Callithrix jacchus: one gene and its partners. The protein of the gene in region 1 purifies or fractionates together with the protein of each later gene. This does not show direct contact. Links are inferred from orthologs where the notes say so. Each region holds a gene or a part of one and is shown on either strand. Other genes may lie near its edges.

The links.
Region 2: the proteins of NOD2 (region 1) and RIPK2 purify together in Homo sapiens (affinity purification with western blotting; 12 studies listed by BioGRID and IntAct, with this or other methods). This does not show direct contact. The link is inferred for Callithrix jacchus from reciprocal best matches to the Homo sapiens genes NOD2 and RIPK2.
Region 3: the proteins of NOD2 (region 1) and XIAP purify together in Homo sapiens (affinity purification with western blotting; 3 studies listed by BioGRID and IntAct, with this or other methods). This does not show direct contact. The link is inferred for Callithrix jacchus from reciprocal best matches to the Homo sapiens genes NOD2 and XIAP.

The regions. Positions count from the first base shown.
Region 1 is NC_133521.1:8,640,257-8,643,756, forward strand, and holds part of NOD2 (nucleotide-binding oligomerization domain-containing protein 2), read left to right. Parts: intron 1-2,543; coding exon 2,544-2,627; intron 2,628-2,849; coding exon 2,850-2,933; intron 2,934-3,500. UniProt on the Homo sapiens protein: Pattern recognition receptor (PRR) that detects bacterial peptidoglycan fragments and other danger signals and plays an important role in gastrointestinal immunity.
Region 2 is NC_133517.1:37,391,664-37,395,692, reverse strand, and holds the start of RIPK2 (receptor-interacting serine/threonine-protein kinase 2), read left to right. Parts: upstream 1-1,229; 5' UTR 1,230-1,522; coding exon 1,523-1,695; intron 1,696-4,029.
Region 3 is NC_133524.1:119,602,780-119,607,023, reverse strand, and holds the start of XIAP (E3 ubiquitin-protein ligase XIAP), read right to left. Parts: upstream 2,801-4,244; 5' UTR 2,595-2,800; intron 2,351-2,594; exon of another isoform or gene 2,225-2,350; intron 189-2,224; exon of another isoform or gene 1-188.

The DNA of each region.
Region 1 (3,500 bases):
GAAGGGGCAGCGGGAGGGAGACTAATTACCTGGGGGGAAGGTAAGGAGAGGGCTGCCTGAGATTCTGCAACATGGAAGAATACAGCTGGCCCCTAACTCCCTTCCCCGATCCTTGCTTCTGGCCAGCGTCTTCCACTGGCTGGACCCATTAGGGAGGCCAAGCGGGCTGCTTGCTGGAGTAGTCCTCAGACATCAGCCTCCCATGAGCCAGAGACGGGTGGAGAAGCGAGAGAGTGGATGTGGCCAGGCAAGTGGAAGACAGCCAGCACCAAACTCTATTTCCCTAGGAGGGAGGATCATGACACTTGAGTGGGAATTTGGAAACCTATCTGTTGGAGCAATTTTCCTGATAGAAATAAGATTGTGCATTTTCCTGGGTAGTAGACTCATAGTTTTTACCCCAAGACACCAGGCACTCCTGGCCTGTGTGATCCTCATAGGCCAGTGCATCCCTGGAATTCTGGAATGGATCTTCCATTCTTGGTTAGGGATGTCCCTTCCCAGGATGTGCAGAAGGGCTCTGGGAAACCTGTGGGTCTGTCTCTATTTTCAGAGAAAGGTGAGGATGGCCTGGTTCTAGCTCATGGTGCTCAGACTGTGGTGTGTAAAGGCACTTGTGGAAATGCAGATTCCTGGGCCTGCCCCTAGTGATTCCCATTCAGTAGATTTGGGGTGGGGCCCAGGGCATCTATATTTTTAACAAACAACCCAGGTGATTCTGATATAAGTGGTCTCACCCTGGGAGAACTACTGGTCAGCAGCAACCAGCTTGGTTTTCCATTAGCAATTACTGTCCTTGAGCAAGTTCTGCTCTTCACCCTACACACACTAAAATTGCCAAGGCCGTAGGGTAGGGGAAGCAACCATGAGGTTGCTGTGAGTGCAGTGTGTGTGTGTGTGTGTGTGTGTGTGTGTGTGTGTGAGAGAGAGAGAGAGAGAGAGAGAGGAAGGGAGGAAGGGAGGAAGGAGGAGGGCTCTCCCACAGTGCCAACCTGTTTCTCTCCCACTTGAAGTGTTTCCATGCCAACCGAGATCCTCAGCCTCTAGGAAACCCCATATACACAGTGCCCCTGCATAGGTTTCTTTACACTCTGGCTCTTCCTGACTCCAGAGTGTTGGGTTTCAAAGTTTTTGGCTGTGACCCACAATGATTGAGAGAGAGACAGACAGACAGAGAGTGAACGAGCACACCCACCACCGTGTAAACGTGAAACCAAAGCTTCATGAAATGGCTTTGCTCTGTGAACTCTGATGCACTGTGCTCTCTTCTGTTCTGTTCAATCTGTATTTTAGAAATGCTGCTCAGGACCTCAAAATGGTTTGCATGTCCCACAGCCTGCAGTCTAAAAAATCACTGCTCTAGAGAAGTGGCCGTAAGAGGCCCTAAGGGAGAAGCTGCACCATGTCAGGGTTAGGAGTGGGGTTTGGAGCCAAGCTGCCTGGGCTCAAAGCCTTTATGTGTATCCTTGGCAAAGTCACTTCACTTGTCTGTGCCTCAGTTCCTTTCTCACGAATGCACAAAATAATGGTACCTGCTTCACTGGCTTGTCGTGAGGATGAAATAGTGTTATTATCGGGCAGTGCTAAGGATAGGGACCAGGGCTAGCGATCACGATTCTAGGTGGTTTTTACCATGCACCAGGTGCTCACAAGGCTTTATATACACAGCCTGGTGAGGCTGATAATACTGTTATCATAGATGAGGACACCAACAGATAACTAGTAAGTGGCTGATCAGATTCACAATATCCAGCTGAGGCGCTCCAGAGCCTGAGCTGTTAATATTCAGTCAGGGCCTCCCAGGTTTGCCTGAAGATAAAGAATCATGTGCACAGTTGTTAAAATATACAGATCCCTGGGCCCCACCCGACACATACTGGATCACCAGCTCCAGGATACAGGCCTGAGAATCTGTATTTTAGGGAAGCTTTCAGATGAACTTGTGATCAGGTGAGTTTTGGGAATGGTGCCCCAAGAGGAGTGGCAGGCCAGGCTTGCTGGGCAGGGACTGGCGGGTGGGAGTGTTATCACTGGGGTTAAGGACTGGGCACTAGCCACAGCCTGCCTGCCTGTTTCCAAAATTTGTGGCCGGTCTCATCCAGCTGGTCTACTGTCTGCTGGCCTAGGTGATGGTAAATTTCTCCAGGGGTAGCCTGTCTAGTTCAGGCTGTACCTTTCCCATATATCAGCTCCTTTCCACCATCGTCCCCTTTGTGAGGCTGTGATTATCATGTTCCTTTTGCAGAGATGGAAACATTGCTTCAAATTAGCTCTGTGATTTCCTTAGGATTCCGGGTGCTTTAGTGGCAGATCTGGGCCCTACGTCCTGGACCGTCTCTGTCATAGAGCACCACACCACGTCACCTCCCCCGCCAGGGACCTTGGGGTCTCCACTTTTCTGGGGTGCTCCATCTTTGCAGGGTTTCCTGGAAGCACAGATGCTGGCACTTCAGGGATGAATGAAAGTCTTTTTTGTAGATTTGTAGATTTTTTTCTTGTCTTTCCAGCTCCGTTTTCAAATGTATTTATCTTGTCTCTTTTAGTTTGCGTGATAACAATATCTCAGACCGAGGCGTCTGCAAGCTCATTGAACATGCTCTTCACTGCGAGCCATTGCAGAAGTTAGCGTAAGTCAGCCTGGGCTGTGGACATTGGGCCCTCAGTCCCCTGGTCTCACCCCCGGTCATGCAGCCTGGGTAGCTGTGAGTGATGGGCTGGGGCAGGGGCTGTTTGCATGATGGGGGGGTGCAGTTGATTCCTGCCCAGAGGGGAAGGGCAACCCTGGGATTGGGTGCTCCCTGTGCAGTGTGCTTTGCTTCTGTGTCTCCTCTCTTCTGGAAACTGAACAGTCTGTTCAATAACAAATTGACCGACGGCTGTGCACACTCCATGGCGAAGCTCCTTGCGTGCAAGCAGAACTTCTTGGCATTGAGGTGAGCCCAAGTTTTCCTTATTCCCTGGAAACTATTTTTTGCCCAACAGCTGAGTCAGTCTGGTCTGGTCTTGGCCTGGTGCTGCCCACACTGGCTGCTGACCTTCTGATTGAATGTAGGGGCAGTGTGTCATTTTGAGCAGGGGTTCTGTGTACTGCCATCATCTCCCCTGTAAACTCTGGACTAGCCCTGCTGAGGGCTTCCTGTCTTTTGACCTTTAACCCATAGGGCAAAAATGTTTTTCTAGTCCTCTTTCCTTTTCTGTGTCTAAGAGTGTCACAGCTCTCTGGGGTGACTGAGTTTCACGATGTATGTTGAGCTTGTCTCACTGGTGGAGGCATACGCAGTTACTTGCCACCCCAGCTGTGGCAGCCAGTGGCTGCAATACTCCCAGAAGGTCCTTTCACCATTCAGAGCATGCAAGGTTTGCAGTCTCATCTGGGTCTGCATTTCTGCTGCTTCAGTGTCTCCCAGTTTCAACTGGAGTCTCTCTCTCCTACCTGGCACTGTTAAATTGCCTCTCTAGCTGGCCTCTGGGTTGGGCTGGCTCTCTCTCTCTCTCTTTCC
Region 2 (4,029 bases), on another chromosome or scaffold:
AGGTTGCAGTGAGCAGAGTGCCACTGCACTCCAGACTGGGTGACAGAGCAAGACTCCCTCTCAGGGGAAAACAAACAAACAAAAAAACTTATTAAGCAGTAAAGCACAGAGTATCAGATCAATATTTAGTGCTGAACATTTTATTATAAATGATCATTTGAAACACACTCTTGTTTACAACCTCCCACTATTGTAAAACCTAACATTGATACTCTCATTTCAGGTAATGCAAAACTACAATAAGCATTAACTCTCTGTAGGCAGAAATCTATTCGAGTCATTCCTTATTACTGAAGCTCTAGAATTCATTAAACACCTAGCATAGACTTGGTATTGTATATAACATTTGCACTCATACCTTACAAAATAGTCATCTACGTAGAAAGGTGTTTAAGGCAGAAAGATGGAAAAATGTTTGCAGTCTTTTTTGGTTGGCATGAAACACTGACTGCATTCCTCCCAGGTTTATAAGAAAGAATTATTTGCAGTCTTACCTGGGGTTAGAGGGATGGACTCTCTCAAGGTTATTTTTCAATCTCTGTACATACAAACTTATGGAAGTAAGAAAGAAGGAGAAAGGCAGATCCCATGTAACAGGTGTTAAACACCTGAATTTGCTCTACTATGACAGGGTTTATCATCCACCTCTCAGTCCTGAAGTGGCTGGAAAGAAGCGAAGATTGGAGTCCAGGTGGACAGGTGAGTGTAGAACCTCTCAAGTGCGGAGCCCTCGGAATTCACCACACGCCCCAAATCGCTTCCTGCGCAGGCGCAGAGTCGGAAGCGGCTCCTAGAGCAGAACCCCCCCGCCCCCTAATAAAGCCCCCACCCGGACGCCGCTACCACCGGGATTTGGCAACTTCCGGAAGACCTGAGGACCGTAGGAGAATCCTCTCGGGAATGGGGGGTGGGGGCTGCTAACCAATCCGACACCGCCAGCAGGCCGGAGAGGGGCTTTCCCCAAAAGAAAACTTTCCCAAACCTGGGGGATGGGAAGAGAAGACAAAAGGAGTGCCTCTGGCTCTCTTTCTCACTTCCCGGCCGCCCGCCCCAGCCCCTCGGCCTCGGCCTCGGCCTCGGCTGCGCCAACCAACAGAGAATCCCGGCAGCAGACCGAGGCGAGAGCCAGGAGGGAGGGCCACAAGCGGGCGGCCCCTCTCCCCGCCTCGCTGTCCGCCGCTGACGTCGTCTGCGAAGTTTGGGGAGGGAGGAGCTCGGACGGCCGGACCGAGCGGCGGCGCGCGCCCTGGAAGGCGGGAGCTGCGAGAGAGGAAGCTCCTCCGGGGCGCTACGGCGTTGTCCCCAGTCTTCAGAAAAGAAGTCCGCTCTGGTTCGGAGAAACAGCGGCTAACGTGGGCCGCCTGGGGAATGGGAGGCCTCGTTACCTAGTGTCGCGGAGCAGTAAGGATCTTGCCGTCTTCGCTTGTGCAGGGGCGGATCTGGGCCCCCGAGCGTGGCGGGAGAGCCCTGGAAGCCGCCGGAGCAGGGGGCACACCCGGAACCGGCCTGAGCGCCCGCGACCATGAACGGGGAGGCCATCTGCAGTGCCCTGCCCACCATTCCTTACCACAAGCTCGCCGACCTGCGCTACCTGAGCCGCGGCGCCTCGGGCACTGTGTCCTCCGCCCGTCACGCAGACTGGCGCGTCCAGGTGGCCGTGAAGCACCTGCACATCCACACCCCGCTGCTCGACAGGTAGGCAGCTACTGGGGTTTCCGGGAACAGCCCCCAACTCTCCTGCACCCCTCCAAGCCCCCAAACAAACGGGCTCTAGAGCCCAAATGGCAGTGACCGCTTGGGGCCGGCCCCACCTCGTCACCTCTAGGCAACCCTTCAAGCTTGGGAGGTAGGGAGCACCGACCCTTCCAGCTCTGGCACTGTAGGGAGCACCAGCCTCTCTGGAGATGCAGCAGTCGTGTTCCTCCAGGCATCTCTCCGTTGCCTTTCCTCTCCTTCCCTCTTGCTCCTAGGCGTCCTCTCTCCATACTCCAAAAATCAGCAATCTCTGCCTAACTCTAAAAGCCGTGTTTATTGAAATTGATGTGTGTTTATATATAGTGAGGGCTGCACTGTCCAAGAGGTCGCTCTTAGCCACAGGTGGCTGTTGAGCACTTGAAATGTGCCCGTCCGAATTGAAATGTGACCTAAGTGTTACCATAGTGTGAATGCTTAGTATTTATATAAAAAAGAACTTATTTTTATAATAGTTGTTTATTGATTATATGATGAAATAATATATTTGGTATCTTGGGTTAAATATAAGATGTTGAAATTTATATCATGTTTCTTTTTACTTTATGTGGCCATGAGAAAATTTTAAATTGTATGTGGTATTCACATTATATGTTTATTGAACAGTGCTGCTTTGGAATCTGGGATGTTTTGCTTTTTATTGTTTTTGTTTTGTTTGTGGTGTGTTATGTGTATTCAGGAACGTGTAGTCAGGAGCGTTTTATGTCAGACTCAATACTAGCAGTTCCGTTTCTCCCACTCTCAGTTTCTCTAACAGGGAAGATTGTAATAGAGGAAATGTGTGCCATTTTTTGCCACAATAAATTGAACCGAAAGACTTTTAAATGGCCAAAAATTGTAGATGGCTTTCACTTATTAGTTTGTCCGGGTTTTAACGGACAGTTAATATTAGTTTCTGTTTTCAGAGAAATATTATAACCTCGTGCCACAGACCTGTGACTGTGTTAATCAATGGTCTGGATACTAGTCTTGTATATTTCCTACAGGGATTTTACTAGGCCCAGCACTCAGCTCTTAGTGAGTTAACATCCATGATTGCAACATTCTCTTCTCTTCCTATATCTAATGTGAAAATACATCATCACAGAATCCTGATGGGCCAGAAGCTGTGAGTATGCAGTATCAGATAAATTCCTCAGCTTCCGCCTTGCCAGTTACTGGATTTTCACCTACCTGTGGCTTTTCTTCATTGTCTCTCACTGTCAGGCTTGGATCGCCTAAATGGCACAGATGTGGGACACCTCTAGAGCTTGTTTCCACTTCTTGTCTGTCATAATCCAGATTAAGTGATATACAAGGTGTGGTGTCTGTTTACTCTGGGCATTACATTCTGTGGAGCAAGTGCTGGGCAAGTGTGTATGTGTGCCTGTAGTCAACTTTTAAAGGTGGTGGTTAGAGAGGACAGATGTATGTTAGAACCAGTTATGCAAATACTATATGGAAATGTAGCACTGATGAACCCATTAGGTATTGAAAAACCAATTGATCCTCCCATTTTGGGTGCTGCTTCTCAAGATTTTAATTTATCTCAACTTTGTGTGGTTTGGGGACAAAGAAGTGAAGAGGGAATTTCCTTCCCATACTCATGAACAATTTTCATAGTCTAAAATTCTTCACTGAATTGGGTAGGAAATTAATTCTGTCTTCAAGGAAGCCATAAGACCAGTGAAACACTCTGGCATTACTGTATCACATTCTTTTCTCCAATTTGTTACCTCAGATTTTATCATTGCAGTATTTATGTAGTATGAGTGTTAGACGATACTATGCAGTTGACTCACTGGTGTCTCTTTCCTCACTTACACAATAGGAATAATAAATGCATGTGTTTTTCGGACTATGGAGAACAATGTTTGCATTGTTTTTTTGGATGACCTGAAAGAAAAATAAGTTTATGCAGTGTTACATGTTCTTATTTTAATGTTTGGTGAATCAGTCTCTGTAACCTGACTTCGATGCAATGAGTGGACCTTCCCCAACAATCTTCCCACCCCTTATGAGTAATGAGTCCAATTGGTTGTTCAAATACCCTGTACATGACATAAGGTTTTATTGAATTTTTGAGTTAATTTTGGTGATGTGACTATACAAGCTGTACTTTACACCTTTATTTTCAAAATGTAAAAATCAATTTTTAAAATATTTTGGCTTTTAAAAAATTTTCCCACTCACTCAATCTTGCCAAAAATCTGTCTTCAAGAACTTTCATACTGTGATGTTCTGTGATCAAGCAACAGGGTAGAAAAAATGCAGGCTTTAAGGTCCCATGATTGTAAT
Region 3 (4,244 bases), on another chromosome or scaffold:
GGAAATGGCTCGCAAGATCAACTTCCTGATGCGAAAGAATCGGGCAGATCCGTGGCAGGACTGCTGAGGCCTGTGGATGGGACACCCAGTGTGAAACCCTCATCCAGTTTTGTCTCCAACTCTTTTCTTTGTACAATCCCATTTCCTGTTACCATTCTCTATAATAAACTCAGTGACATGTTTAAAAAAAAAAATGTGTGCTACCAAAGCAAGTACTCAAATTTGATATTCTGAATGTGTTAAAGTTTGCTACTTTATTTGATAATGAAGCTTAGGACAATTTCTAAAAATATACAACTAGTAACATATTATTTTTACCATCTACATTAGGAGAGAGCAATACAAGAAAAACAAACGTAAGTATCCAATAATGAGGCCTGCTTTGTCAGCTGAGTTGGCTGGAATCATACCGGATTTTATGGTATAAACTACTGCTATGTATAAATACATATATGTATATAAATGTGCACATACCATCGGTATATACTTGCTTATATAGATATATATATATATTTGTGTGGGGGGGTGTGAACTTTAAAACTTCTTTTCAATTATAAAACAATACTAGAGGCCAGGTGCGGTGGCTCACACCTGTAATCCCAGCACTTTGGGAGGCCAAGGCAGATGAATCACAAGGTCAGGAGTTCAAGACCAGCCTGGACAAATGGTGAAACCCCGTCTCTACTAAATATACAAAAATTAGCCAGGCATGGTGGCATGCGCCTGTAATCCCAACTACTCAGGAGGCTGAGGCAGAGAACTGCTTAAACCTGGGAGGTGGAGGTTGAAGTGAGTTAAGATCATGCCACTGCACTCCAGCCTGGGCGACAGAATGAGACTCCATCTCAAAAAAAAAAAAAAAAAATCAATACTAGTTTATAACAAACTCAAACAGTACATTAGGTCATGTGAACTACTGCAAAGCAAAAAGTCTTCTACCTCTCTTCTTCCTCATAACTACTGTTAACCTTTTTATTGTGTATCCTTCAAGAAACTAAGCAAATGCAAGTATACACACGTACCTACCTGTGAAGGTGTGTGTATAAAAATCAGACAGATGCCACTTCTTGAATGTGGGGGTGGGGAGAAATCTCAAGTACTCCATACGCATGTTAAATACGTTGAAATACATAGAAAAGTGGTGGCAGAGTCACTGGTACAAAGTATTATACTCTTCAGAAATGAGTGTTGAATTGAATACATTTAATTTTTATGCCTGGAGGCGATATGGAGCAATTGCGCAGAAAGAGTGGTGGGCAAGAAGCCAGATAACACGGGTTCTAATCTAACTAGTTGGATAGCCTTAAGCAAGCCACAAAATCTTCCTAAGCAGTTGTTTCTGCTCTTGTAAAAGGACGGGGTTTGACTACGATCCCTTCCAACTCTAAAATGTTTTAATTCTAAGATGGCCGTCTGTAACATTGTTCTCTTGCGCTGGCTGTAATAAATATTATGGGGGAAAAAGATAACAAGAAAGAAACGCTACTGCAACCTCCAGTCTTCCAAGAGTAAATTTCTGTGAGTCATCAAACTATCAAAGTATAGTTGTGACAGAACTATCGACATAATTATATTTGAAAGCAAAGTAGTAGATTATTAAAATCTGAAAGTTTTTTTTTAAACAAAGCTTTGATTGACTTTTTCCTTTTTTGGAGGTGGAGAGGGCTACTGCTTAGTTTGAAAGAAACACTTCCCTCCCCGAAAAGAAAACAATTTAAGTGTTAGGGAGTTAAAATGATGAAACGAAGTCAAACTGACATTTTGTTTTACAGAACATGCTGGAAAGGTGACTGGGAAAGCAGAGTGGAAAGAATCACTAGCTAATTTCCTCTTCCGGAAGCTCTTTGGCCCTCATTCTTTCGGTTTCTTACGCCCCCTCCAGACACACTCCACCCTGCTCCACACAAGCCACAGGTATCACATGGGGAGGAAATCCCTTTGATCATATTTAAAAAGTTTTCTGCCTCAATTTACCTTAGGTGTCACAGGGTTTAGGAAGGCAGTACGCGGGCCTGAGGTCACCCACCCACCCACGCCTTCCGTCGACAGTCCGGGGAACCCGGGCAAGCAGCCCAGGCCGGGCCACCCATGCCGGGCAGGCGCGGCCTTCCCGCCCTCCCCAGCAGCGCCGGCCCGAGGGGAGTGGAGGGGAAAAGAGAGGGGAGGGAAGGAGAGGAGTAGAAGGGAAAGCGGGGGAGGGGAAAGCCTACACAGCTGTACCCACCGCGCCAGGACAGCCGGCCCCAACTGCCCGCAGCGATCGGCTCGGTCCAAGGGGAGGGTCCCGGAGGGGGCGCGGCCCAAGCCCCAATCTGGAAAAGCCAACTCTGCTCTGCGGCCTGGCCCCAGCCTAGGTGAAGGAAACGGAAGTCCCTTCGTCTCCCTCACGCGCCTCCACTGGCCGGCCCATCCCCTGGAGACACCCGTAGTCGCGAAACCCGAAGTGCGTCCACGTCAGGGCCTCAAAAAGATACTGGGCGCGGTCCGTCAGTCTCCCGGCCCGGGCAGTGTCCTTCCCACCCCCGGCCGGGAGGTCAGCCTCCTGCCCTGCAAAGCCCCTCCTTCTTCCCCCCCTCCGCCATTTTCCAACTTACCTTTTGGGCCGGGCGTCCCTCGATGAGTGCCGCACCCGCTCCGGGCGCCGCCAAGGTCCCGCCACCTCCCCAAACCGGAAGGGGGCAGTAAGATAAAATGAGGCCCTGGTAACCCCCCACCCGCGCCCCCCCCCACCCGCGTTCCAGCTGGAACCCAGAAGCTGACCTAGCGGGCGCACATGCGCAGTGAGCACCTCGTAGTCTCCGCCCCTAGCCTCAGCGTTTCTTCTTTTAGCCTCAAGGACGGTTTTTCCCACGGTTTTTACCTGTTGGGCTCTGGGATTGAGGAATAGGGGAAGAGAGATAAAAGGACGGAAAAGAGGAGGGAGAAGGGGCAAAAATGTTGAGTTCTTACTATAGACCAGGTACTGTGTTAGGCATGTAACCTGTTCTTTGTTGTACTGTTGGCAACCCTGTAAAATAAACACTGTTTTGGGGGGTTTAATTTTACAAAAGAAACTGAGGCCCAGAGGGAATAACTATCCCAATATCCCGCGGCTAATAAACAAAGTAACTGAGATTAGAATCGGATCTGTTTCCAAGAAGGGAAGGATGAAAGGGATGACGAGAAAGGGGGACCCTGGGAGAATGGCGAGGGGTTAAGATTGGGAAGTGAATGGAAAATTAATAGAGGAAAAAGAAAGCAGATGGACAGGAAACAAAGGAAGTCTGTGAACATAAAATGCTGGTCCTACCCTGGATTTATTTCAAATGCGTTGTAAGATTGTCAGATCAACATAGGAATTTTTGTTTCAGGAACATGGAATCTTAAAGGGTAATATAGTGAGATGATGGATTCTGAATATTTCATTTCAAATGAAATCAAGTGATGCAAGATACTTATGGTCCTCCCTTCACAACTAGGGAACTTGGAGGGAGGAGAGGAAATACTTTTCTTAAAAACTCCTTAGTTTCCTGTTTATTCTCCCCTTGGGCACGCTACCCTATCTTCTAATAAATCAGAACTACTCCTTCTGCCCCGCCCATTCTCAGTTTTCCTGCCTTAGGCTAATTTGCTCCAACTACTCCCTCTGCCTTCGAGAAAAGGCTGCCGGTGGCTGGGCGTGGTGGCTCACGCCTGTAATCCCAGCAGGGGTTCGAGACCAGTCTGACCAACGAAACCCCGTCTCTACTAGAAATACAAAAATTAGCCTGGCGTGGTGGGGCACACCTGTAGTCCCAGCTACTCATGAGGCAGGAGAATCGCTTGAACCTGGGAGGCGGAGGTTGCAGTGAGCCGAGATCGCACCACTGCACTCCAGCCTGCCTGGGCAACAGATCGAGACTCGGTCTCAAAAGGAAAAAAAAAAGACTGCCTGTACACAAAGCCTTCTCTGATTTTCTTAGCTGAAGTTAATCTCTTCATGCTCTGAACTCTAGTGGCACTTCTCGAATTTTTGTTTTTGCTTTTTTTTAAGCACTGTTTTTTTCTTGTGGTAAAATATACATAACAGAATTTTCTGTTTCTACTGGGCTCAGTGGCTCACGCCTGTAATCCTAGCACTTTGGGAGGCCGAGGTGGGTGGATAACCTGAGGTCAGAAGTTCGAGACCAGCCTGACCAACATGGTGAAACCCCGTCTCTACTAAAAATACAAAAATTAGCTGGGTGAGGTGGCATGCGCCTGTAATCCCAGCTACTTGGGAGGCT